4 linked regions of the Drosophila melanogaster genome follow. The protein of the gene in region 4 interacts with the protein of the main gene of each other region in a pairwise test. Each region holds a gene or a part of one and is shown on either strand. Other genes may lie near its edges.

Evidence for each region.
Region 1: the proteins of Cp110 (region 4) and ana3 interact in a two-hybrid assay, tested with the Drosophila melanogaster proteins (one study listed by BioGRID).
Region 2: the proteins of Cp110 (region 4) and Lk6 interact in a two-hybrid assay, tested with the Drosophila melanogaster proteins (one study listed by BioGRID).
Region 3: the proteins of Cp110 (region 4) and Cep97 interact in a two-hybrid assay, tested with the Drosophila melanogaster proteins (one study listed by BioGRID).

What each region holds. Positions count from the first base shown.
Region 1 is NT_033778.4:12,343,014-12,351,015, forward strand, and holds the start of ana3 (anastral spindle 3), read left to right. Parts: upstream 1-1,969; 5' UTR 1,970-2,072; coding exon 2,073-5,510; intron 5,511-5,569; coding exon 5,570-8,002. UniProt on the Drosophila melanogaster protein: Participes in the structural integrity of both centrioles and basal bodies and in centriole cohesion. Participates in the later stages of centriole assembly through the interaction with Rcd4 leading to the centriole to centrosome conversion.
Region 2 is NT_033777.3:11,761,425-11,766,242, reverse strand, and holds the start of Lk6 (Lk6 kinase), read left to right. Parts: upstream 1-1,785; 5' UTR 1,786-2,596; coding exon 2,597-2,759; intron 2,760-4,818.
Region 3 is NT_033779.5:3,865,833-3,871,956, reverse strand, and holds Cep97 (centrosomal protein 97kDa), read right to left. Parts: upstream 4,261-6,124; 5' UTR 3,976-4,260; coding exon 3,969-3,975; intron 3,578-3,968; coding exon 3,417-3,577; intron 3,354-3,416; coding exon 2,896-3,353; intron 2,840-2,895; coding exon 2,481-2,839; intron 2,415-2,480; coding exon 2,154-2,414; intron 2,085-2,153; coding exon 1,908-2,084; intron 1,868-1,907; exon of another isoform or gene 1,833-1,867; coding exon 1,403-1,832; intron 1,336-1,402; coding exon 768-1,335; 3' UTR 532-767; downstream 1-531. Other genes in the region: CG31957 (uncharacterized protein), read left to right, coding at 88-404; TTLL4B (tubulin tyrosine ligase-like 4B), read right to left, coding at 4,733-4,888, 4,971-5,979, 6,040-6,124.
Region 4 is NC_004354.4:22,480,480-22,487,991, reverse strand, and holds Cp110 (centriolar coiled coil protein 110kDa), read right to left. Parts: upstream 5,598-7,512; 5' UTR 5,452-5,597; exon of another isoform or gene 5,328-5,451; 5' UTR 5,256-5,327; coding exon 5,242-5,255; intron 5,154-5,241; coding exon of another isoform or gene 5,151-5,153; coding exon 4,970-5,150; intron 4,906-4,969; coding exon 3,466-4,905; intron 2,756-3,465; coding exon of another isoform or gene 2,741-2,755; exon of another isoform or gene 2,591-2,740; coding exon 2,357-2,590; exon of another isoform or gene 2,246-2,356; intron 2,050-2,245; coding exon 1,918-2,049; 3' UTR 1,908-1,917; exon of another isoform or gene 1,872-1,907; intron 935-1,871; 3' UTR 534-934; downstream 1-533. Other genes in the region: l(1)G0196 (lethal (1) G0196), read right to left, coding at 203-325; CG12576 (uncharacterized protein), read left to right, coding at 7,398-7,480.

The sequences.
Region 1 (8,002 bases), on a different chromosome or scaffold from region 4:
ATGCCATTCGTTTGCCATAAAAAATAGAGCAACAATTGAAATAGTCGGTTTTGAGCAATCCGAAAAGTGCTTCGTGAATGATTAGTGGAACTCAAAGTTCCCACTTCCTATCGCAATGTGCTTATCTACATATTAATAATAAGAATAATATGTTGTTACGATTTGATTATTCTATTAAGAATGCCTTTCAACATATCGCAGTCTGCTAATTGAACTGCCAGACATTCGAATTTTGAATGCAGTGAGTGCATTATAATCAAGTTCGCACTTTCAAATTGCGGTTGGGGTGAATATTCACGGGGGGGGTGGTGACAATTTGTCTGCCCGTGATTTTGAATAACAAACGAATAAAATGGGTAAAATTGCCAAGAGCATGCTATATGAAGTTCAAAGCACTCTGTATAATGAATGGCAATTATTTTAAATTGGTTTGTAAGCCAGAAATGTTCAGTAGAGCCGGGTTTTTCGTATTTTAAAGTTACAAATAGAAATTCACACTTTAATAGCTCAAAGTCTCATGAGGCCGGTTCCTAGAACTCACTCATAATATTTAATGGAATATCTTTTATAAGCCATTCAAAGTTTGATACTAATGGGTTGCAGTGACACAAATCAAATGGCAAACATTTTCCTGGTGCAATATAAATCTTTTTTGCTTCAGTCGGTCGAAGTTCAATGGGTGGAGATGCGGGACGATAATGGTCCAATAATCGGGCACTTAAGTGGCCAATCCGATAAGATTAGCCATAAATAATAATGAACTTGTTGCTTAGCTCCCCTTTTTGGCTCAGTGTCCAAAATATTCAATTGTAAATTACTCGAGCGACATCCAATCGGAATGTCAATCGCAGTTGCATGCCATTTCTAATTAGAAAAGAGTAGACGGGCCATTGATTTCCAACTGGATGGTGAGATATACATATGTACATATATGTACGCAAAAGGTGGAAAAGCGAAGGTTGCGACCGGCGAAATGGTTTCTGGGGTGTGGTAGGGGCGGCATCGGGGCGAGGGAGTTACCCGGGCGTGCGCCAGTGACATCATTTCGCTATTTCCATTTTCATTTCCAGCATATGCTTTGTTTGCACTACGAATTCATCAAGTGTCATTTGGCACTATGTGCGTACACTGTGCACATGTATGTGTGAGTAAAGTTTGTTTGCCTCAAAAATAAAGCAAACAAAAACATAAACTTAAAACAACACAATCCAACCGATGACGTCACGAGGGAGCCTTTTTATTGTTCAAAATGGAACAATGAATGGGTCACAAGGATAAGAATGATCAGAAATAGCACTTTGTTGAAGTTTAAATTGCAAATAACCGGTTGGCGAACAATGATTAGCGGTTACAAAGCGTTTGGCTGTATTCACAATCGCACAGCTACACTTTAGAGCGGCACGTAAACAAAACGATATGAAACCCAAGATAAGCATTTATACACACACACACACAGAGAGAAAAGTCTAGTTCTCCACCGCAGCGGCAAACAAACTCTATTATTTACCCGCTAAGCACAAACTCAAGTCCAATCAGATGGGCGACTTTTTTTTAAACCTACAGCGCTAGCGTGACCGTGCTTGCCATGCTGGGAAATAACAAACTCGGTTGCGACCAAATTATCGATAGACAAATATGGCAATTTAATACGCGTAGTTTAGTTTTGGTGAAATAAGGCAAATATCAGAGGCATAATTTATAAGATTATTAAGTAAAACCATATAAATAATATAAAAATAAAACAATTAGATGAATAAAAGTTCTTCAACAAAAAAGGGATTAGGTTCAAGTAATTGTTTATTATGTGTGAAAAGCACCTAATTCTTAGGGAGCAATAAAAGATTGATGCGGAATATTGTTCGTTGTTGCTGATGCGAGGTGTCAGGTGGAGAAATACTATTTTAATAGGTTTAGTATTTTTAGACCCTTATGCAGGGAACGCACACTCAAGCAGAGTGGCAACGCCAGCCAAAATTCGAGTTTGACGCTTTCAAAAATGACATCCTAAAACGTTTGCTGCCTGGAAGAGAAGTGAAAACGAACTAAAAGTCGGGTATTATTAGTCTAAGGAAATGAGTACCAAACAGAGCCCGGCCCTCCAGCTGGCGGAGGGGCAGCTAACCAAGCTGACTAGCGAATCGGAAGAGATCCGTATGCGCGCGCTCGACCAGATTGAGACGAGATTCATCAGGTGCCTGCAACTGGGCGAGCCGATACAGTTCAAGCCGGTCCTGCTGCTGAAGCAGCTCATCCGCTGGTTCGGGTACACACCGCCGCTGGTGCCCGACCGTGTGCTGGCCATGATTATGGAACTCCTTCGATCCGAGTACGCCGAGGCGGTGATTCGCAAGATTCCTTACGAACGCTTCAAGGCCGAGCTGCAGAAGGTTCGCCGTGTGCTACACAAGCAGGAGTCCAAGCGGGTCAGCGAATTGCTGGATGATATGAATTTGCTGCTTCTCGAGAAGTACAACATAGACCGGGTGACGCCGAGCGTCTCCAGCCTTAGTTCAAATGACATTCCCAGTCAGGCAACTGAATCCGCAGACAGCAGTTCGAATCAGATTTACGACAATCTGAAACCGGAAGATTACGAGCCCTCCTGGTCGCATCCGTGCTTGGACGATGTGGCCACCATGAAGAGCATGATTGATTTGCCACGAAATAGCGTTGAGTTGCAGTTGCAGCTCACCGAACTGATCATCCGTATGGGCGACTACCCAACTGAGTACTTTCTGCAGCCACCGTTCGTATTCTTGCATCTGGTTCAGTTGCAAACGATGACTGACGGTAGCCTGATACATGTGAACCGGGCACTAATTGCCTGCCTGCGGCTGCTGCAGCAGCGCATCTTGTTGCGCCGAAACACTCTGAGCTACGCGGACAGGTTCGATCCTCCGTCACGCCCCAAGCAAGTGAAGGTGGTGAGCGCCTTGGTAATTCTGCTGGAAAATTGCATGAAGCTGATTCGTCCGTTGCTGTTCAGCTGCACAAACGACAACTGGCACATAATGGAGCTGATCGTGGAAATAGTGCGGACCCACGATGTTCTCAGCTCAAAAATTCCCTTAGTGAGCATTACGCTCATCGCGGACGCGGTCAAAAGTCTGCTGGCGTATTGTAACAGTGTAGAAGGCAGTTGCATGACCCAGCTGATGGACTCGCTCAGGATTCCCCGCCTGCAATCGCTGATCCTTAACGGCGTGCTGCACGATATGGTGGCCTTAAATATAAACTATGACAAACGCATGGACCGACGCCAAGCCAAAGCACTCATCCAACCTATAGTTTTGGACAGCGCTTACCTGTCTGGCATGCCCGAGCGCATGAAGTCGCTAAACACTCTAATATCGTCTTTGGATTCTGGACCATCACCGGACGAGGAGTTGATCAAGCTGAAGCGGGCCTACAGCGTGGCCCTAAATCAATTACATCCGAATACGGAACTGACTGGGTCGCTGCTAATCCAGAAGTACAGACAAGTGTGCCTTGTGCTCGTCCAACTGGGCAGTGAGACATTGGTAAAGCAGCTCTTCGGAGCTGTTGTAAAATGCATTCCATTCTACGCGGGCAATTTAAAGCTAAGAAAGGATGCGGATGAGCTGCTTTACACCCTTGTTGATTTGCCTGCTCTCAAACTTCGTTCACTTATATATCGTTTAATGATCAAATCCACCGTGGCCCACTTTCATTCCTTTATGAACAAGACAGTCTATATGACCGGCTGCAGCAATGTGGATCTGATTCGTCAGCATATCTTAGGCGTGCCGCTAACTCCCCTGCTGTTACGCAGAATGATAATTCAGAGTTCGGAAGCAAATACTTCGGAACGTATGCAGCAGTGGTGCCTCGACTATCCTATAATGATTATGAAGCTAAACGCTATTCTAGCTCCGCAGGATTTCAGCGTTGTTTTCCCGTTGCTACTCCCCGTGCTGCCTCTGCTGATCAGCAGGTCGGTTACACACAAGATATTGCACAACGTCATATGGAACGTTTTAGAGCCGGACTCCAGCCGTTTGGATCCGCAATTGATGCTGCGCGGGTACGTTTACTTCATGTTCCATCCGGATGGCGAGGTTAGGAGCGAGGCCACCACTACAATTGCTTACGTGCTGCAATGTCAGGAGCAAACGAATAGATATTTGCCCACCGCAAGCAACGTACCGGTTGAGCACATCGCCAACGATCTCTGCATAATTCAACCACCATTCTGTTATAGAAGCATTTTCATCAAATGCTCTGATGAGCGGTTTCAAGGTCAGCGCAGCTTGGACGCCCTGTTCCGATTACTCCAGGCCAAGGACATAAAGTCGAATATCCGAAAGTCAACAATGACTCAATTAAATGTCTTGCTACGAAACTGGAGAGCTTGTGAGGAATTCTCCACAAAGGAGGATGGATATCGACTGATTATGGAGTCTCTGCACAACGCTCTGAAAAAGGGGAACGACACTGATATTCTGCTGCCCACTGTGAGTATCCTGATGAAGCTTCTGTTCAATGACGATGAGTTTCGATTAGAAGTCGCGAACACATTCGGGGTGTACACTTTACTGCTGAGGGCTTTATTCTTGTTCCCCCACTTGGAACAGTTGCGCCAGGATGTCAGTATATGCCTGTTCCAAATGCTGTTCCAGAATTGTATCACCTCCACTGAAGACAAACTGGTACTGAATGCGAATATGGAACCCCTGATTTTGCCTGTAACCTATGAAATTGAACATAAAGTTATACCCACTGCCGTTACGGAAGGATTGGAGCTGCAACAAAATGTGGAGGCGACCCATTTCGGGCGAGATAGGGCAAAAGCTGCACAGCATTGGCGACTGTATATGGCCTATCGCGTTTGCCAGGTTCCATCCAGCATTACTTTGGAGTCTGTGAGCGCTTTGGATATAAGGGAGTCTCTTAAGATCAAAATGGCCGATTTGGCGTTAGTAAGATCCTCCGACTTAAATGAGCAGCTAAGTTGTCAGTTTATCGCAGCGGAGAATTGCAGCAAACACGAGGATCTGCAAAAAACTGTGTCGGCCATTCAGCTATTTCTCGTGGTTCTGCGAAACTCATTAAGTGATACGGTGGCTGAGAACTTGTGGAAATTAATCCATAAGTACATCCGCTTAGCGCCGGGGAACGAAGCGGATGACAAGGTGTACAAGTCCATGCTGGATCTGTGCGTAACATGCATTCGCTTCAGCCAGCCACATGCTATCAACGGACTGAGCTACGCTCTGGAAACGGATCATCATCACAGCTTCCAATTACTCCTGCACGATAGCCAAATTTCTCTGGATAAGCTATTCCTGATTTGCCAGTGCATGATGCAGCTTTTGTCCAACGAGCTCAGTGATGATTCGATGAACTGGTATGGCAAGTTCTTTATGCAATTGAGTGCCGTGGCCAAGACGCACTTTGAATTGCGCCAGCTGCAGCACGTTCGCTGCATACTTTGCATGCTGCGCTTTGTAAGCGAGCGAAATCTGAAATTTAGTAATGCTCAGTTGATGGTGAGTAAAGGATCATCGTCATTAGATATTGATTTCTTACCTTGAATTTTTGTCCGCAGAGCTACTCTCAGCATTTTATCCAATTGTCCAGCAATTTACGTACCTCAACTCAAACCGGATCCGAGTGGCAGCGGGACTGCTTGTACATAATCTGTCAGCTCCAGATCCATCTAATATATCAGGAGCCAAAGGCGTCCAGCAAGGCCAGTATCCCAAACGATGTCGGAGCTTCATATAAGGTCTTGCGCTATTTCTTAACACTTTGCGGGCACGGTGACAGTGAAGTGCGTGCATTGTCCTGGGTATCGTTGGCCAATTGGATAACCATCTGTGGCTCGCAGGTAGCAGAAATTCTGCCTCGCCTGGATTTTCTACCCGGCGGACTGCCGGCTTGCTGTTTAACCACTCTGACGGATGCCCACGAAATGATGCTGATCAGGGAGTTGGCCGGACGAGTATTTATCCTTCTGATGCCGCTCATTGGTGCCGAAAGTAGCTTGGAATTGTTGCGGAAACATGACTTACTAAAGACCGCCTACAATTCGCTGAAAGCAATTCACGACACTCCCTGGATGTTCAAGAAGATAGTTGGTGAGCGGCATTCGTGTGAAGTAATTAGCTGCTATGTTGCCATATGCACCAAAATGGTGGCCATGAAGCCAGAGTGGTGTGCCGCGCTCTGCGGCCACAGTTTGATGAGTGGTCTCAGCGATGTGATGAAAAAACTCAAGTCGCAGGCGTCCTGTTCGATTCCGCTTGTGGAACTGTGTGCATCCCAAATTTGTGAATTGTACTCGATGTGCTACACTAATAACTTTGAGTTCCTTAAGATGACGATTTGTCGAGATTCTGTATTCTTGCAGAATTATTTAACGCTGATCAACGATGTTTTGAGTTTGGAATGTCCCGAGTACATGGTGATTCCCCTATTAAAGATGTTTCTCATATTCTGCACGGACTCGAATTCGAACTCATTTCTCATCGAACAGATAAAGAATAAGCCATCTCTATTCATGGATTTCTTCCTGTTTGGATTGCATGTGAAGCTTATTAATTCGCCATTTCAGCGCTTTACTCTGTCAGCATTATCACTTGTGTTCACCAAAGCTCAACTTGCTGCGTATGATATAAGCATGCTAAGTGAGTTGGAGAAGTTCGAATTAGCATTCAGTGATCCTGATATTGCTAAAGATGGCAAACAAGAATTCGAGTCAAAAAAGAAGCAATCTGTATCGCAATGCATCTACGATGAATCCTCGGATAATTCGGATGACAATAAGCAAAGGCCAAACCATGCGATCCAGGCCACTAATGCGGCTATTATAATTTTCCATCGCTTGGATCAGCTCTTTGACCGTTACTATCTATCGAAGGCCTTAAACTTTTTGGAACTTCCTGCAGTGGGCCAGGTGCAGGTTTGTGAAGCACTCGGCGAACTGCTTAAGGCATCAACCTGGGCCGTGAAAGCAGCCGGAGAATCGAAGCTGCTTGGCAAGGTAGTTCACATTCTGGACGATTTTCTCAATGACGAAAAAATCGGAAACGCCGCCGTCTATGTGAAGCGAGTGGGACCTCACAAGGCGCAAAGTATCATAAGCAATCTCTTGGTACTGATTAACATGCTATCCCAATGGCATAGTTCTCCCAATTCTGAGATCATCCAGACCAGTATGGCTGCGAATATCGCCAAAATCCTCATCCGCATTTGGCCTTGGTTATCGCACTCGTATCACTTAAAAAAGGTTACTGTCCAGCTGATTATGTTCCTTACGGAGCATTCATTCGAAATGTGTAAACAGATATCCCTGCTTCAGTCGGGACATGCCCAATCCCTGCTACACCTAATGGCTCGCGTCGCTGACTTCGAGACCACCAAGAAGGAGATTCCAAACAAAGAGCCATCTCTGAATATGGTGCCCGCACTAAGGGTTATGGTAAACTGCTGTTGCTGCACCGAGGGTCGGCTGAGTTTGTCCAAAATGAATTTGCTGGATATGTTTGACACAATCCTTCCTGCTAATCCGTGCTCAACACATCTTAAAGTGCGACCACCTGTACTGATTGCATGGCTCGGATTCTGGGAGGTATTTTCCCGGTACGACGTAGGAGGAAAGGCTTGCCATCTTCAATCTCTTATAAACACGATTCGGCGTAGTCCTCCATTGAGTCACAAGCGGATCCTGTGCCTTCGAATACTCCGCAACATGTGCTTCTTCAATGGTAATCGCCCCCGGCTCGTGGAGCTGGCTGACTTTATTAACCTGCTGCGTGATATTTTGGAGCAGAGGGTCCAAAAAGCACCCACATCCGAGAAAAACGGGCTGAACTCCTTCGAGGAGCACCGCCTGGCTGTCCTCATGTTGTGGAAACTCTTCGGTTTCGGTGCCAAATATAAGGGCATGCTGCGGGGCACCAAGCTCTTTAAACTGCTGATTGGCCTTCGGGTGGAGATGTCGGTGGTCTTCTCGGAGGAAGAGAATAAGTACGCAGGC
Region 2 (4,818 bases), on a different chromosome or scaffold from region 4:
CAACCAACTAAAATGCATAACGAACGAACAAACAAATGACGAAATAGATACATATTTTCTCACACTTCATTGGCTTATCGAAGGTATAAAATCGACAATTACAGGATAGATCTAGATCGCAACACAGCCGAACCGACGACGATCGACTTCACAGGCTGCTGGCAAACGGTCCGTGCAACTTTTAGTGCATTTAAATAAATTATAAACACAAAAACAAAAGCAAACACAAAAATGATCGAAGGAGCGTAAGCGAAACATAAGCAGTTCATATTTACAGGAGCTAAATAAGTAATGCGGGGGGTTTGCGGCCAAAGAGAAGTTAAATTGTAGTTAGAGGTGGATGGATTAATACCCTAGGATGGCATTTAGGGCAAGGATCAGACGAAAAGGGCGCGTAGCATTACACCTTTTACATTAAACGACGATACGATGCCGCGCATCCAATTTGAAACTGTACGTATTGAATTTATGTTTAGTGTCTGCAGCATGCGGGGGATGTGAAGGAAGGAAGGAGGGAAGAAAAAGGATCGACGGGCGAAGAGCTAAATACATTTAAGGGTTAGATTTTCTGCGAAAGGACTGAAGTTAAGGCAACGTAGCGTTTAAATGCAAAATTGAATTGAATTGAATTGATGACGAAACCGAGTGTTATGGATAATGGAGCGTGCGCGAATGCGATTGGTGACGAAAATTACTTGTTTTAAGGCTGGACTTATGTAATTTCGAGCAAAAACGATAGTAGCGAAACAAAAACATGTAAAATGCAGATATAATATTTTTATAATTAAAACAAAGGTACCCCCACCCCACTACCCTTATCTTAATATGTTTAATTCAACTGCAATTATCGTTAAAGACGTATTTACTGTTTGTGATCCAAATTCATTGATTAAACGTAAACTACACAAAGATACAATTGTTGCATGGGCAAGGTTTGAAGTCCGGGTTCGCAAAGTACCCACAAGTACTCGATCCCCGGGTCTCAAAGACGAGGAAATCACGAGTCAATAAGCCAGGTTTAAAACTTGCAGGTGCGTCGTCAATGGCTCGCAATATTTTCCGGTCGGGCCAAATCCGAAAATGGCCTGCCCGAAAATTATACACACCTTACAGGACCGAGTGTTAAGAGTACTTTTGGACTCTCTGCGAACCCATAGAAATAGAGCAGGAACAGTAAATTGTACTTAATTGAAAAATGATATAATAAAACACCGCCACTTTGAAATATATTTACTTGAATCAAATAATATTAATGAGTATATATAACTTTGTACTTGAATAATATTTTATTTATATTTACCTTAAGTCAATAAAAATTCTAATAAATTATAATCACCCAAAAATGCATTTTGTTCAAATGTCGAGGGGAGTTCTTTTCAACTGCTGATTGGAAAATTGATGCCTTTTATTATTGATATTTGCGAATACTGATTGACAAGCTGCGAACCTTGAGTAAACGTATTCTTCCCAAAAATAAAATATAAAATAAATAAAGAAGGCTAATAAGTTTCATAGTGGGGTGTAAATTAAACAATTCAAAAGAACCGCCCAACTGTGGTTTATAAGCTTGGCGCACTACGCCAAGTAAAATACATGTAGAAAACGTGACGGCGTTGCCACTCTTATTGTATTTAGCTAGTTTAACCACCAAATAAACAGCGAAGTTCTCAACCATATGTGAGTTGCGTAGCCATACTACATTTGAAGCAAAAAACCCTAGTGTCGCTGCCGTCTTGTGGTATTTTCGTTGGCCCGAAAAACGGTCCTACCAAAATGGTACCTCCGGCCACACGGATGAATTCGTCGTCATTCGTCGGAATCATTCGAACTTTGAAAATGGATCGGTAGCTGGGAAGGAAACTTAAAGCGAAATACGCAAAGAAAACGGCTTTTGTCCGCTATTCAGCGATTTTTTTTGTGTTGTAATCAGCAGAGGAAATTTTAACGACCAACTCCACCGCCACACCAGCCATCTCCAGCAGCTCCGGAAAATAAAATAGAACTAAATTAACGCCTCCATCACTACAACAACCATCTCACCAACAACTACAAGAGCAACAACCACAGCAACAGCACTACTGCACCAAGCCCACAAAGAAGAGGTGAAACGCAAAAATCGCAATACCCGAAGAAAAAAACAAAAAATATCGCAGATAACCGAAAAAAGCGGTGCAAATAGATAAACCCCATTTTTTGCTTGAGCTTTTTTCGCCTGTGTGATGAGAGAAATCAGCAGCAGCCATCGATTACAACAACAACAGCAGCCACACCAACGACGACTCAACCACCAAACCAAGAATAAATAAACAGCGGAGAGCGATAGATAGAGAGAGAGAGAGAGAGGAGCATCTGCAGCAGAATTGAATCAGTTTTTTCATCAACCGCCGCATTGTATTAAAAACACAAAAATCCCATAGGCGGCCACCATTTTGATTTTGAATGAACTGAACGAGAAGAGAGGAAAGAGCACGAGAGACTGAGAAAAACTGCTGCTCATTTGTTGCACCGTAAACCCTTTTTCCAGCTTGTAAGCACTCTGCCTGTCTCACTCTAATCGCGTCCAGGAGCACCGTACAGTAACAACAACAGCAACAACATGGTGGAGCCCAAGTCCGGGACAGCTGCTTCTGCCGCTGCTGCGAAAGCAAGCAACAACAATAACAACAACCACCCCCGTGGATCTGGGGACAGCGGCATCCGGAGTGGCAGCGGCATTTCCTGCAGCAACACGGACAACAGCTGCAGCCAGAGTCAGTCAGGTGAGCAATTTGAGTTTCTAGAACTCTGGGAGTTTGACACTAAATTCCCATAGCTGAGAAGCAAACTGTGATGCATGAGATATATTTTGGAAACCTTCTGAAGAGATTTCGCATATTTGCGCTTCGTGTGTCACCAGTTTAATTTTAACTAGACAACATGTTAACAGAATGATGAAATAATTGCAAATATTTGCTCTGACTGTGAATTTGGCAGCTCTTTCGTATAAATTTGAACTTCTACCTATTGGAAATTCACCTGTATCTCTGTCGTAATATTGTTGTATTGCCTAAATATAAAGTATATTTCGTAGGCAACAGTTATTTGCATGCCAAAAGAAAACAAAAGCCTTATTTAAGCATATAATTATTATTTTGAGAATGTGACAAACGTTCTTTGCTTCTTAAAGTTGTACCTATAAAATACGATTTGTAGGATATTTCTGCTAAAATGCAATGGTAAAAAAAAGATATACGTTAATGTAATATTTTGTATCGGAAGTTATACTTCCTCTAAAGTTCCTAACCATATGTATGTATTATTCTGCTTGTCATTGGGTGGGGACTGACTACCAATCAGAGAAAAGACCCGACCATTGCTCCTACGCTTTCATTCAGTGGATTTCTAGTCAGTTATCGGCAAAGCTGGGCCAGGCAGCACTTTCGTTTCGTTTACCCTTGCTAATCAATCGAACGAACTAGGGAGCATTGACTGACTGGGCCACGTTGCGCACCGGGTGCCGCAGTGTATTTCCTTGACGTCACACGATGTTCGAGAACATGCATGCTGTCTGCCTGCCGGCGCCCAACCCCACCACCCACTCCGCTTCCCTTCACCCACCCCGCACAGTCTGTGTGGTGTTTACAGTTGTTTTGTTTCGCCAAGAGAACCCCATTGCATCATTCGACTGGGGCCATTAAGCTGAATATAAGTGTGTATGTGCCCTAATTTTAGGGGTATTCCAGCATCTGGACTTTATAACCATCACTGGGGGTGTTATTATTGTACACAAGTTCTTAATTATATGTGGGATTTGATATATGCTATAAAATAACAATGACAAAGATCAACTAAATCCACTAATTAGTCATATTCTAACTGGAGGTTAAACTAGAAGTTTGTTGTTTTCGTTTAGATAGTGATTATAGTCCATACTTTGTGTTTATCAAAGATAATCTTATGAAACAGGACAGATTGTTGTGTAAATATGCTAGATACGGTTGGGTTGGACCACTGACATCCACTAATTCCACTAATATCCTATAAAATCGGGCATAAGTGAGCTGCTTTGAAAAATCATGAAATCCATATGGGTAAACTGCTGTACAATAGGAATATATTCACACATACATATGTAGATTTCAGCACCAATAGTTACCCTTTGTAATTAGACCAGTTGACTGGTATAAATTCGCATAATATGATTATCAATTTAAGCAATACTAGATTCCAAGCACAAAAGGGTATTCCTTTTCCCTGCCATTCCACCAACACCACCAAAGCTGCCGGCGAAGTGAGAGAGACGGCACTAGTATCTGTGCCAGCTAGCCGAGACCGAGAAATTGAAATTGAGCGTGTGCAGGCAGTTATGGAAATGGAAAATGACTCATGATGGCTGATCGATTGAGCGTAATGCACTGACACTCGTGTTCAAATGCGTATTCGTGCCCAAAATGCAGCGAACGCGGCGAAATGTGAACAAACTACGATTATAACCTTCATGACGTTTATTGCACTTGGTGTGACGTTCGTTGCTTGGCCTCCCACACATATAAAATGTGTGCGCCCATTAGGAGTTGTGCTGGAGTGGATTTTGCAGCTGCAATCAACTGAGTGCAAAACGCTGTCAATTGGAGCCCACCAGCTGGAAACTTGTTTTCCCCCCAACGATCCATAATAATTTTCCATAATTATCGAGAAGTTTTTCATTCTATCGAGGCCTATCGATAGGAGGACATCTAGTGGTGCCTACGTGCAGCCTCCTCCGATTCATGAAATCAGCCCAATATATCTCTGTCTCCCTTGCTCGTTTGCGCAAAAGCCCTGAGAGAGAAATTTATT
Region 3 (6,124 bases), on a different chromosome or scaffold from region 4:
CTCGATAAAGACATGTTGAGATAGCCCATCCCAACTCATTTCATGTTGATACTTAATAATGAATTTGTATCCTTCTGACCCTTTTAGTTTCGATGCCCAACAAATTCCGCAAGAGCATGTGGGTGAAACGTGGCGACTTTCTGCTGGTCGAACCGATTGAGGAGGGCGATAAAGTCAAAGCCGAGATTTGCAAAATACTCACACCCGAACATATAAAGGAATACACAAAAGCTGCAATTTGGCCGGATAAATTCACAAAGAAACCTGTACAGGAGGAAGCCACCAGCCAAAACAAAGACGACTCCGATTTCGAGGATGATCTCCTGCCCAATACAAATCGGCCTGTAAATCGCGATTCCTCCGACGAAGAGGAAGATGAGGAAACATCCAGCGAAGAGGACTGAACGATGTACAAACACACACATAGTTAGGTTATTTACAAATTTGTCAAACTTAATTAAAAAAAAACTGTTGGTTAATGCTGGTGTTGTTTTTGAACAAAATCTGCCCGCAATCAAGAACACCTTTTGTGCTTTACAAAAATTTGTATTTACGATTTGTTCATACTATTGTTAAGTCTTCCACCATCGCTGCATCTCAGGAATGTAACAAAGTAATGTGTTTGTGAATGCTGGTGCTACTTCTAAGTTCTCGTAACCGATCTAATATTGTTGCAAAAGCTACACAAAAGCCTAAGAAAGGAATTAATAAGCGCTGAGATCGACCCTTAAAGCGTTTATACTCCTCATTTATTAACTGGGATTTGTTCATGGATCTTTATCAAGATTTTCCGAGTCTTCTTGGGTCTCCTTCAGGTCGACATCATTCAATTCATCGATTTTGGGACAAGCCAGAGCAGCTTCGTGCTTGGATTCTAGGGCCAAGGTTGAGGGCCTTGTTTTGGTGAATGGAAAATTGGTGAGGTCCTCTATTTGCGGCGTGTGTACGGCAATGAGGTCCGTCTGAGTGGAGCTGCAATCAATGATCTCGGCCTGCTTCTTAATAGCGTCCTGCGGCAGATTGCACACCATTGTGAGGCAGTTGACGATGGTTCCAATCGAGCTTTGCAGCATTTGAACCTGATCGGTGAGCATGGTGCATCTTTTCGCCAAATCATTTACCACGGCGGCTGAATTTTGATCGAGACTCAGGTGGCCAGACCCTCCGCCATTGGAGTCCTCGCCCTGTTCCGCAGCAGCAGGTATTCCCTTGGGATCCACCTCCATGGTGGACACCTTTTTCCACAGCGCATTGATGGCCTGCATCTGCAGCTGCTGAATCTTTCGCTCGTTCTCGAGCTGGGCCTTCGTAAGTAGCATATCCTTGCCGAGTTGTCTGAGGAATGCGACAGATAGAGCATTAGAAAGTTGCGATATATGTTGCCTAAAACGAGACCACCTACTCGATATACTCCTGTGTGCGTCGTCGCTGCAATCGCTCGGCTATGTCCTTGTTGGTCTTCTTGCGTGTGTGATAGCCTCGCCACATCTTTTGGATGGTAACGGCCGAGGACTCTGTCACGTGCTCGATCAGCCGATCCTGGCAGTTCAGGTTGTTGTCCACCTGCTGCTTCAGCTGCTCCTGATGCATCTGCTGTTGCTTCTGAGCGGCCATCTTCCGGATTGCTCTCAGTTTCTCTATGTTGATTTGCTCGCCGTCGTCGTCGGTGCTGAAGCCACCGCTATCGGCCAAAACAGCCGATTGCTGGAGTTTCTCCGGTGCCTGCATGTTGTCCGCGCTGCACTTATTGGCCATCCTCCGTGGACTGCTCGTAGGGCTTTGGTTCCTCTTCAGTTGTGGACTTCGCACTCTTGGCAAGTTCAGTTTGTTGTCTGTAGTGTAAATGTGTATGTATGTTTTAGAAATCTGTGTCGTTTTAAAAGTCTAGAGTAACAACTACTGGCTACCTTTATTTTTGTTGATCTTGGTCTTGTGCAGCTGAGGGTTCAGTGCCGTAACCGTAACTCTTTGGGCCACAGCGGCGGGACAGACATCCGGGCTCATCAGAGTCTCCGGAACTGGGACCATTTTCGAGGCAGCCGCCAATGGACCACCAGATGGGGTTTGACTGATGAACGTTTGATCTGTGGAATTGTTGTTTACTATTAACATCATTTTCCACTCTTGCATTGAATATATTTTAATTGTCATACCATTGTAGGGATTGGGTGTTATATTCCGTGGCGTGGACTCCGTGGAATTGTATGTCTTGGTGGTCACGCTGCTGGACATTCCGCTGCCGGCCAAACTAAAGCCTTCGCCATCGTTTTTAATGTTCTCAATGAGCGAAATGCTCATTTGCAGCGAATGATTCGTAGATCCATTGTCGCTAACAATGCTATTGTTGCTGCTGTTCCCGTGATAGCTATTCACCATGGACTCCGGTGATCCCTGGCGGCCACTCAAGCGGGAGACTTTAAATCGAAGACAGAAAAATATAAGTTATATGAAAAAGCATAGATAGGGAGTTAATAACTTACATCTGGGCGACTGAATGCGACTCGTGGGCTTCTTGCGATGGGATGAGGGCGAAGTGCTGGCAGAACTATTTGCGTTATCCATGATCTCTTCCTGCAGCTGCCGCTGATGGTGTTGCGCCTTGCTGAGGATCAGCCGGAGTTTCCTATCGTTTTCATTTTCCAGCGCCTTGCCCACCAGCGGGCACACAGAACTTAGGTATTTTGCCAAGCCCTGCTGCTCGCCCACACGGAACTGGCGACCACGTCCCTGGCTATACAGCCATTCGGCCTTAAGACTCTCAATAGGATCGACCACAAAGCCATCGATGTACTTGAGGCTCATGCACCAGTTTAAAACAAAAGGTCGGTAATCAAAGCCACTGCAAGAGATGTTACATTTTAAGCGCAATCCATATGATCCATTAAGCTAACTCACTCCAAACTGTTGATCATGGTCACACAGGGATTATCCGCAATGGAAATGCTCAGCAAGTTGCTCAGATGCGACAGCGTACAGATCTCGTTGAGATCGTTGATGCTATTCTTGGCCAACGTTAGGGTTTCCAGTGAGGTGGGCAAACACTTGTCGCACTGCCTCAGATGCGTCAAGCGATTTCCGTGCAAATATAGCTCCTTGAGATTGCGCAAATAGGACATATCCGAAATGCTGCCAATGCTATTATCCGCCAGATTCAGGCACTCCAGATTGACATTCGTGTTCAGATGCTCGATGGTCTTGATGTTATTCCCCTCCAGATTCAGAACGCGCAGATGGATGCATTCCTTCAGGCCCTCGATAGAGAGTATGCCATTGAAGGACAGATTCAGTTCACGCAGGCAATGCAGCCGGCAGACGCCATACATGCGCAGCAATTGATTTCTGGCCAAGGAGAGCTGAAATATTTGAATTTCTGTTAATTAGGAACTTGTTTCTTTTCGCAGAACGTTGCAAGTCACCGTTTCAATTTTGAGATACGAGTCTATGTTGTCGATCTTCTGCAGCTCGTTCTCGTCCAGGATGAGCTGCCGTATGCTGTGCGCATCGTCCTGCTTGGGCACCTTCTTCAGCTTTTGCTTGGACAAGTTCAGGACGTGCTTCTCCTCGCCACTTTCGTCGCCTGTTTGGGTTAACAAAGCACAGTGGGTAGAAACTAAGGTTTACCACTTCATACTTATTATGCATTAAACACAATATCAGAATTATGTAAAACAAAAAGCCCAAAAAGGAAATACATAATGCAAGCTTCACTGTATACGTGTGCATGTTACAAAATTGATGACTTCATCGAGGGGTCCGCACTTTTCAAGAAGTTGGAGAGGAGGTCAGGGCGCAGGTGCGTCCTTTTTAGCCAGGACCTCGAAGCCCCCGGCCCGCTGAACATTAACCCCAACTCCCCAAAAGCAGACTGCAAATTCCCATACAGTCAGCACGCAAATCCCAATCCCCGCAAATCATATTATTAGTTACTAATATATAGTGCCCATTCTTGCATAGAACTGGCTTCTTACCACTCATTTTTCTGATTGGCAGGCCGAAATTCCAACGCTGCGGTCAATTTTTTTTTAATCAGCAGATACTTAGCGAAAAATCAATGGGCCACTCTTTTTTCCACGCAGTTTCAGATTGGCAATTTCCCAAGTGTGCAGCTCAGCTGTTCCACTTGCAGTCCTTTGGTTTCAAGCCGGGTTTATAATTCAGTCCACGCCATGATTTGCAAACTTAATTTTTATTTTAGCGCCGTGCAATACAGTGAATTTTTGTTTATTGTTATTATACTACGTCTATCGATAATTGGAGGCGTGATGTCGTTATCGGCAGCTTGAAAACTCAAGACTGCGCCGCTAGTTATCGATTGCACTTCCTTAGACTTATCGCAACTGCCAAAGCCCGCGTAGTTCAAAAAGCTTAGTACTGTGCTGAGCAATTACCCAATAAGAAAACCGATACTCTTTACAGTTTACAGTGTTCGCATAAAGAATAAATAATAAGAACTAAATTTAAATAAAATATTTATTTTCATAATTTTTTTAAACACCCCGTAGTGTTTTATATTTACTGAAATGACGTGTGATCCAATTTCTAGCTGGATGCCAAAACAGGCTATTGCCACCAAAGACGATCGAAGTTAAGTGAATTTACTGAGCGGATACAATTCCGGAGCACATCTGCACGGGATGCTGGCACAGCTGTGAGCTGGTAACGGAAACGGGAATGGAAATGGCAATGGCAATGGAAGAAGCAATGGTGATAGTGCTGATAGTTCGGTTCAATTTCAGGACTTGATCTCGATGCAGGCATCCGGAATCGGCGCCACCTCGCAGCCCTCCTGGACAACGGGCTTAAGTATGGCCAGCGTGGTGGCACCGTCCAAGACCTCATCCTTTCGCACGTGCAGCATATCGATCTCGGTAAGTGCAACATTTGGTTCCTAGATAAGAAATATGACTTGAAAATGGACTACAGAAGCGGTACGGAAGGGGAAATTCAATTGAATTGAATTGATCGTTCACCTTTTCCATGGCGGCGTCCGACACCTGTAAATGGTATTTGTCCCGGCAATAGCGCGACAGCAAGGCAATGCCCATTTCCCTATTCTTGGCGTACTTCGTCTCCCAGGCGTCCAGCAGGCGATTATAGTACCGGGCATTCTCGACATAGCGCAGATATACATGTGTGCCGGCGGTGGGGAAGATCCGTTCCAGCGGCTGACACCTGGCCAGCTCGTCCTCGGCAACGATCAGGCAACGGACATCGTCCGGCAGTAGATTGTCCAGTATGGTATCAACGTACTCCTCCCGGAATTCGATGCTCCGATTGGTGTACTGGTTATGTTTGCGGACCTCCTCTGCAGTCAGGCAGGTGGTGAAGATGCGTTTGTCATGGCACAACGGACCGGTCAGATTAAGCTCCTCCAGGATGTCCGCCTGCTGACGTTCGTTCAGCTTAGGCGGCACCTGATATAGAGCCGTATTCAGCACGGCCTGAATGAGCGGACCCTTCACGTGCAGATCCAGTGGCAATTCCGAATGCAACGACGGCGATATATTTATCTCCAACAGCCAGGGCACTAGATTCTCATCCAGGAGCACATCGAAGCCAAACAACTCGAAGCAATTGTAGCGAAAGTTCACATTCTGGCGGTACATGCGATTCAATCCCGATTCCCCGCTCACGATGCCCTTGATGACCAGATTCCGTAGCGTGGCCCACAGGCGCTTAGTGTTCACGCCACGATTCTCCAGGCAGGACCACAGCGATTGAAGCGTCCACTTGTGGCCCTGGCAGGCATTGAAATCCTCGTTCTTCGCATAGTTCTGCGAGAACTTGTTGATGCTGTAGTTGGTCAGGTGCATGCAGCGCTCGTCCAGATTGCTCAGCTCCGAGCTGTACTTAACGGACGCGAAACGCGCCAGTCCATCCTTGTACATATAGATGCGGAGTGGGTTGATCGAGGTCAGTACCACATACAGACGCATATCGAACTTATTGTCGTTGATCAACAGCGGACGTTCAATGTATCTGAAGTGGGGTTTAGGGTTAGGGAAGATTTTTAAAGAAGACGAAGTTATGGGCACCCACTTCTGAACCACCAGAGGACGATCTTTGGGAAATTGGCTCCACTTGTTCACAATGCGTATGCCCGTGCCTCGGGCACTCGCCGGCG
Region 4 (7,512 bases):
CCAGGTTTAAATACTTTTTCAATGCTCATAATTTTATATTTCACATTCTTATAAAACACTATTTAAAATTAAATAAAAATCGATTTGACTTGTTTTAAAAATAAATACGTGCATGTATAGCACATATAGTATGCAAATAAAAAAAATTATGTGTTTTAGTGGGTTACGCTAGATTTTAGTGGTAAAACGGTGGAGCGCATACGTTGCCATCCTGTAATCCCAAGTAGAAACCGACCCGCTGCTGCGGCTGACTTTGATGCGGATTTTGCTGCTGATGCTGCTGGGATATATCCTGGTACCCTGATTCCAACTCGGTGTAGGACATGGTAATCCTTTGTGTTGGTGTTAGTGCGAGTTATCCAAACAAAACAAGGAGCAAACAACAACACTGGGAAACGTTTTTCGTATTCTGTTTTTACATTTTTCACTCTCACCCCCACGCACGCAACTTTGCCGCGTGTTAAAAATATAAGTGTGCGCTTATATTTTTGTTAACGATTTTTTCTCTCACTGTCCTTCGATTTACGAGTTACGAAATCTGTTATTGGTGTGGTTTTATTATTTGTATTATTATTTTTTCAATTTGGTGTGTCGTTCTAAATTCGCCGCCGGCGGAATTATGGAATTGGGTGGGCAAGGCACGCGGGCAGCTGGGTGAATAACAGGATGAGCGGGAGGTCGGCCAATTGCTGTGGGTTACGTGCTCACTAATAATTAATTGTTATTAAACTAGTTTTCTCTCGCTTTTGATTATTTGTCTGCCTTTGCTGTTTTCTTTTAAGGCCATCACACGCACACACGACTACTCGCTTTAAAAGTTCCGTTTGTTTTGGCAATCCGCCGCAGCTTTCAGGGCGAATTTGTCTAGAAAGCTCCGCAATGTCTTGAAAGCTTGGCTGCAAAAAATCACGCGGGCTTTTGCCAAACAGCTGTTCTGTAAATCAAGAAAGAAAAGGTATTAAAAGGTATTAAAAAGATAATAGAGAGATATAACCAAAAATAAGTATATAAATGTATTTCAGTTCAATATTGCGACTAGTATGTATATTTGTTTGTTAGAATTGCTTATTAATCGTAAGAATTAATTTGTGTATGTAGTTAAGGATACTACCGAATCTACCCATTAAATTTTATATTATTTTAATATTTTTTTAATATTTAATATTTAAAAATATACTTAATATTTAAGTATTAACATATACATATTTTCTTCCATTTCAGCTCAAATATATATATTCCATAATACAAATTAAATAATAACAAGAGAGATTGCTATAGTCGGCTATCAGATACCCGTTACTCAGCTAATGAATATGCCAACGCAAAGTTGGGAAATAAAATGAGAAAAAATATATATGTAAATGGTTCGAGTTGTGGGCGCTGTGGGCCAAACGCCGTTTTGGGAGTTTTTTTTTATTATATATCGATAGAAATGGGCAAAACAAGCAAAAAAACGTAGAAAAAACAAAACATTTTTCAAAAGTGTGGGCTTGACAGCTTTTGGCTGTTTTTAGGCGTTAGAGTGGGCGTGGCAGAGTTTTTTGGCAAATCGCGTCTATGTCTCTGGAAGCTGCATGATAAATCTGAACATTCTAGCCTGTATAGTTTCTGAGATCCTGACGTTCATACGGACGTAATGACAGACGGACGTGGCCAGATCGACTCGTCTAGCGATCCTGATCAAGAATATATATACTTTTTATAATGGGAAACGCTTTCTTCTATCTGTTACATACTTTTCAACGAATATAGTATACCCATTTACTCGTAGAGTACAAAAAGGGTACAAAAATGTAAAAATGTATAGAGAGAAAGTGGAACCAGAAAACTTAAACTTAATAAAAATGTGTTTAGTTAAAACAAGAATGCTTCGTTTATCGTTTCCTCCTTTATTCGAGCAATCTAACCTATGAAATCCTAATCCAATCGGCGATGTTTGAGGAGTAGTTTGGTCTTGATCCTCTGGCGATCCCGAGCGATGATCTCCATGCGGTCCTTTATGTTGGTCTGGAAGAAGATCAGGTGCAGGGTACGACTGGCGGAGCAGAGCTATGAGTTAATTCAATGAATATAAAGGAAAAAGTAGTCAGCTTGTATTAAGTTTGCAAACAAGGCAATTTCAAATCAAATATTTATATAAAATCGCATTAATTATTCTAAAATACCAGTAGTTTTGGTTTTGCTTACTCAAAGTTAAACCAAAGTCAATGTAAGCACAGTAGGTAACACTGCAGTCGAGTTTTTTGACTATCGCATACCCTTCACTCAGATAATAATTAATTTCTAGTTTTATCATCCAAGCCTAATGTACACATTTGGCACCTTTTACACCTAGACAAGTAACCAAGTAACCCACCTGTTGAAGCAATCGCGCCTTGAGGCGCAAGTTTGCAGGCTCCTCTGCATCCAGGCCATGTCCACAAGTTTCCAGGTGCAGGTTCAACACGAAGATCAGGGTGTCTCTGATGGTTTGGACAATGCGCTGCACTTGCTCGGTTGCAAAAAGCCGGCGGACCAAAAATCCTCGCACACCGGCATTAATACGTGTGGCCGCCCACTGGCGCTCTTCCTGTTTCAGCTCGACATATTTCTGGCAGGGATTAGAGGCGAAATTAAACAGGGAACGAAGGCACTTGCTAGTTGGGTTAGTAATTAGGTTAGCTACTGGTGCTAGAGGCTTGGTCCCTCGATTTCCTCGCAGTCTTTGTTAAGGCACTTGCATAACTGACTACCCGAATTGCTAGGGCTTCTTGCGCTGTTTGTGTTGGGGAAGAGGAAATAATAGAATGGGAGTACAGGAAATAGATATTACAGATTATATCGCCAAGGTTTTCACTTTTTTAGGGATAAAATACCTAATTATTATATTAAGTGATTATGCTAAGAATATCAATATCAATATCAATATAAAGCAAAAAAGAATGCTATCAGATACCCGTTACTCAGCTAGTGGATATGCAAACTAGAAATTTCATCATAATTTTTCTGGGATATCGATACAAAATTGGGAATAAAATGAGAAAAAATTTAAAAATTAATTAAAAATGTCAATAGAAATGTACATGTCTAATAAAATTGTGAAAAATATCCAACATATATTCAAGCTTTTATAGTTCCTGAGATTTTGACGTTCATACGAACAGACGGATATGGCCGGACCGACTCGGCTATAGATCCTGATCAAGAATATATATACTTTATATGGTCGGAAACGATTCATTCTGCCTGTAGCATACTATTCAACGAATCTAGTATACCCTTTTACTCTAAGAGTAACGGGTATAAAAATAGAGGACCATAAATAAAAAATCGTTAATGCTTTAGTTAAATAAAAGGAAAGGTCAAATAGCAGAGATTTAAAGTAAGAGTCCAACCAAATTAGCTGCTAACTTAGGTTGGCACAAATGAAAACCTTTGTGACTTAAAGCAAATAAAATATCGCTCAGATTCGCTTGAAAAACTTACATTGCCCAGCCGCTTGGTCGGTGAGGCGCTTTTTGGTGGGGCGCTTCCCCTTTTCGCTATAATGGAGCTATTTTTTCCCGGGGAACTTTTCGGTCGTCCTGCTCCACCTCCAGGCTTCGCTGGCGATTTCTTCACCTCGCGGTCTGCTGCGGTGATTGTTTTTACTAGACTACCGCCCACAGATTGCGATCGGCGCCGGACAACTTGGACACTTCGTCTGCTATTGGTTAAGCTGCTGTTCCGGAGGGGCAACGATCGCGGTGTGCTGGGGGCACTGAGCAGCTGCGGTTCCGAGTCCTTTGATGGTTTTGGACTAAACAGCCTCTTGCGAGCGGAAGAAGGCCCCGCAATTTGGCACTTGTCTTCCATCGTCGGAAAGTCTTCTATGTCCTCTGAAAAGGAGGGTAACGTAGGCGAGGGGGAAAAACGCTGCAGGTCTCCCGTACTGGTGCTTTGCGATATCAGACTGTCAGGATTTTCGGTGGCCGAGGAAACATCAATTTCGGCACACAGTTCCTCTATGAGCTGACGCTGCTGATGATCAAACTCGGCCTGCATGCGACGACGTTCCTTCTCCTGGTGAATGACCAATTGATTCATTCGCTCCCGATGGCCACGCAGATAGTTGCGCACTCCTGCCTTGCGGCTGGCTTCCAAAGCGCCATGCTCGTCCAGCGCCCGTTCTATTATACGCTCCACCTCGCGATCCCGCCTAGAACAGCTGCTGCCGGCGGTTGTGGTTTTAGTGGCGATGGTGCTCTTGGTTGCGGCGCTACTGTTGCTATTGTAGCTGTTGTGGCTAATTTTGCTGCTAATACTCCTTGCACTACGGTTCACCCGCTTGGCCTGAGACTCGATGGTCTGCTTCTCGAAGTTGGCCAAACTCTGGCTGGGTTTCACAGCCAGGGCCTCCCTCTCCATGTGCTCCACGAGAACCTGGGAGGGCTCCTCTAGTGTGAAACTTCTCGAACGCTGAAAATTAGCTGGTTCTGCCAGTGGACTGCCGAGCTCCCTTGCCGTTGTGTCCTTTGTATCCTGATCCTGCTGGTCTTCGGCTACCGCAGGACTTGTGCGCAGGATACACTTATCTGGAACTTTGGGCAGCAGCTTACCCAGTCCCGACTGCTCGAACTGCAGGATACGATCGGTAATGCGATTATGCCGCCTTGGGGAAGTGTTTTCTATTGATTTCACAAATGGTTGAGGCGTGGGAGGATCCACCTGTATGGTGGGCAACTGTTTGCCAAAGACCAGAGTCTGAGGACGAGCCTGGCCCCGTGTGCTGTCATAGATTAACGTTTCTGTCTGCTGCAGCTGTGACACACTTCTCCTACTGGCCATGTCGGATCCCGCCGAGTGTCTGGCCAGGCGGTACCGCTTCTCCAGCGCTTCTGCCATCTGGCGGGCCAGCTGCACCTCGCGCTTCTTGGCGCTCGTCATCTGGAACAAAGTAAAATGGTTACGCCTCAGTAAATGCCACTCCCTGACCAAGAATTTAAATCACCAGCGGTGGCAGTATAGGCTGCCCGTCCAAGTGGAACCGAAAGGAGACAGGGTCCATGGAACTAGAGCCACTGCCCTCGGAGGGGGCGCTCCAGATCGATATGGTGGTCGTGGCCGTTGGTGTGGTGGCCTCGCTGTGGCTACCTCCCATCTCAACTGCAGACAGCAGCTGCTCCATTGCCCTGCTTAATTGGAGAAGCATTAGATTGAGCAAAATCAGTAATTAGAAGCCCGTAAGCAACCGGGATTCATAAAATCCCAAGACCCACTCACCACGTCGCATCCATTGGTGTTTTGCTACTGGGAATTTTTGTTGGGACGTCGAAATGTCAGGAAGCCTTCTCAGAGGTCAGCTGAATCTAGGTGTTTTGTGAAAGTTCATTAAATGTCTGCTATGTTTTAGTTGCCATTAGAGATGACGATGGCACTAGGGAGCCCTCGACTTCCCGCCAAAAATTAGGAAACCTCTGAAGAGTTCATTACATCAATCAAATGATATCCCGAATCGTTGAGAGTTTTGTATTCAATGTTTCTACCGTGGATCGCAGCTACCATCAAGAGCCAATGAGAAATGCTGCTTTAATGCTGGGGAAAACATTTATTTTCAAACGGCAATTCAAAACTCACACGAAGTCCATGCAGCCCTGACGTCAGATATCGATAACCGGACTTTTGGAAGTAGCGTTTTTAGAGAAAATTTGAGGACTCCACAGATTAGCAGAGGAACAAGTTTTCAGTCCTTCCAGAATTATAGTAAAGAAAACGGTGGATTAAATTAGTGTTCAGGAACTTATATTGTATATTTCGTATGCTTCAAAATCTTGTCAAAATTAAAGAAACATTGTCTGCGAAAACTTAACTTTTATTGGTTCTTAACAAACTAATTTGAAACAGCTGGCCGAATTCAACAGTTTACTAGGTGGTTATCGAAACTGGTGTGGTACATTTTGGTATTTGATTTGCGCCGGATGGTATTTTCCTTCGCCGTGCGCGCGGTCACATTCACTGGATGTGTTTTTTTGCGCTGATTGTTGCTCTGGCGCGATCGAATTTGCCTGGAATTCGGGAGTCAACATAATATTTTCGAAAGTCACCAGCTATAGCGAAAAGTATGCGAGTTCTATTACAGCTTGTCGATATGTTGTGTTCGTAACTTCTGTTTGCATATGTTATGTGTGTGTGTTATCTAGTTACAAAACGATCTAAAACCGTTTTTGCAAAGAACGTCCGCAAAACTGAGTTTGTACTTCAAATATGAACTATTTGCGGTTTATATTGCTCCAGATTTCTCTCTTTAAAGTTGCATTGTAGATGCAGTCGTGTGTGTGTGCGTGAGATGGGAGTGCAATTTTTTTTCAACAGTATCAGCTTTGTTTTTTAAGTAGAATACAAGTAATTTTTACCCCTAACTTTATTCCTAGCCCCTTTCCTTTATAAAAATACGGTAAAAGTGTAAGGAAAACAAAAACAAAAAGCGCAAAGTTTCGCACATATATGTGTACATATGCATACACACGCTGAGTGTGGTGTTTCTGTATTGTTTTTTTTTTTGTGTTTCATTCTGCGACGCAATTGAAAAAGACATCGAAGGCCAAACAACTTGGTGTTTTTTACGTTTTGTATGGCTGTAGTTGCTGTTGTTGCTGCTCAGTTGGGCGTTAGTGTTTGGCTCCGTTCTTATTATTATTATTACAACTTTTCCACGCGCTTCGCTCTCTGTTTCTCTTCCACATGCTTGCTTTCGTCCTCTCCCACGCTGCATTGCTGTCTCACTCGCACACAGCCGGTAAGCCAAGCAGCAAACAGCAACAACAACAGCAACGGCGGCGACAATAAATTATGAAAAACAAGGGAATAAGTTGATGAAATAAGTATTTCGAATTAAATGGTTAATCACTGGTGGAAAAGTCGCAGTTCCAATGACACCTTTTCCATGCTGAACTACGGAGTTTTTTTTTGTTCTTAATCGGTATACGTTTGTGAAAACAAGTGCGCTTGTGTGAGTGAGACAGGGCCTCAAAAGCCAGAAAAACATGACAAAAACATTTTGGTAAATTGCCATGTATCCGAAATAATGCTCATGCAACAGTTACATATAAATATTGTTATTTTATTTTCTACGCAGTAGTCGCGGATTTTCAACAAAGAGCAATCATAGTGATGGTATAAAAGAGGGGAAGGACGAAAGCAAAGAGAGCAAACCGAAAACAGTTACTCTGCCCATGCGCACAGCTGACCCAGAACCTGGCATAACGGTAAAGTAATTGTGTCGTACAACAAGCGAAACTTGACAGCGAAAGGGAACCGGAAGTCGCCTAAAATCGCGGAGCGGAAAGGAAATCAGTCCGCCAACCGCGGGAGCTGAAAATCGAAATCACAACCCACAAAAGCGATTCCAAAGTGCTATCTTGGTGCTACTCCCATACAAAATGTTCCAAGTCCTGCCCCGTCCGTCAAGATCCACGTTCCACTGCATAGCGGCAGCCGTTGTCACAGTCGTCCTAATGTCATGGTAAGTCGAAGTAACAATCCATCCAGAATTTT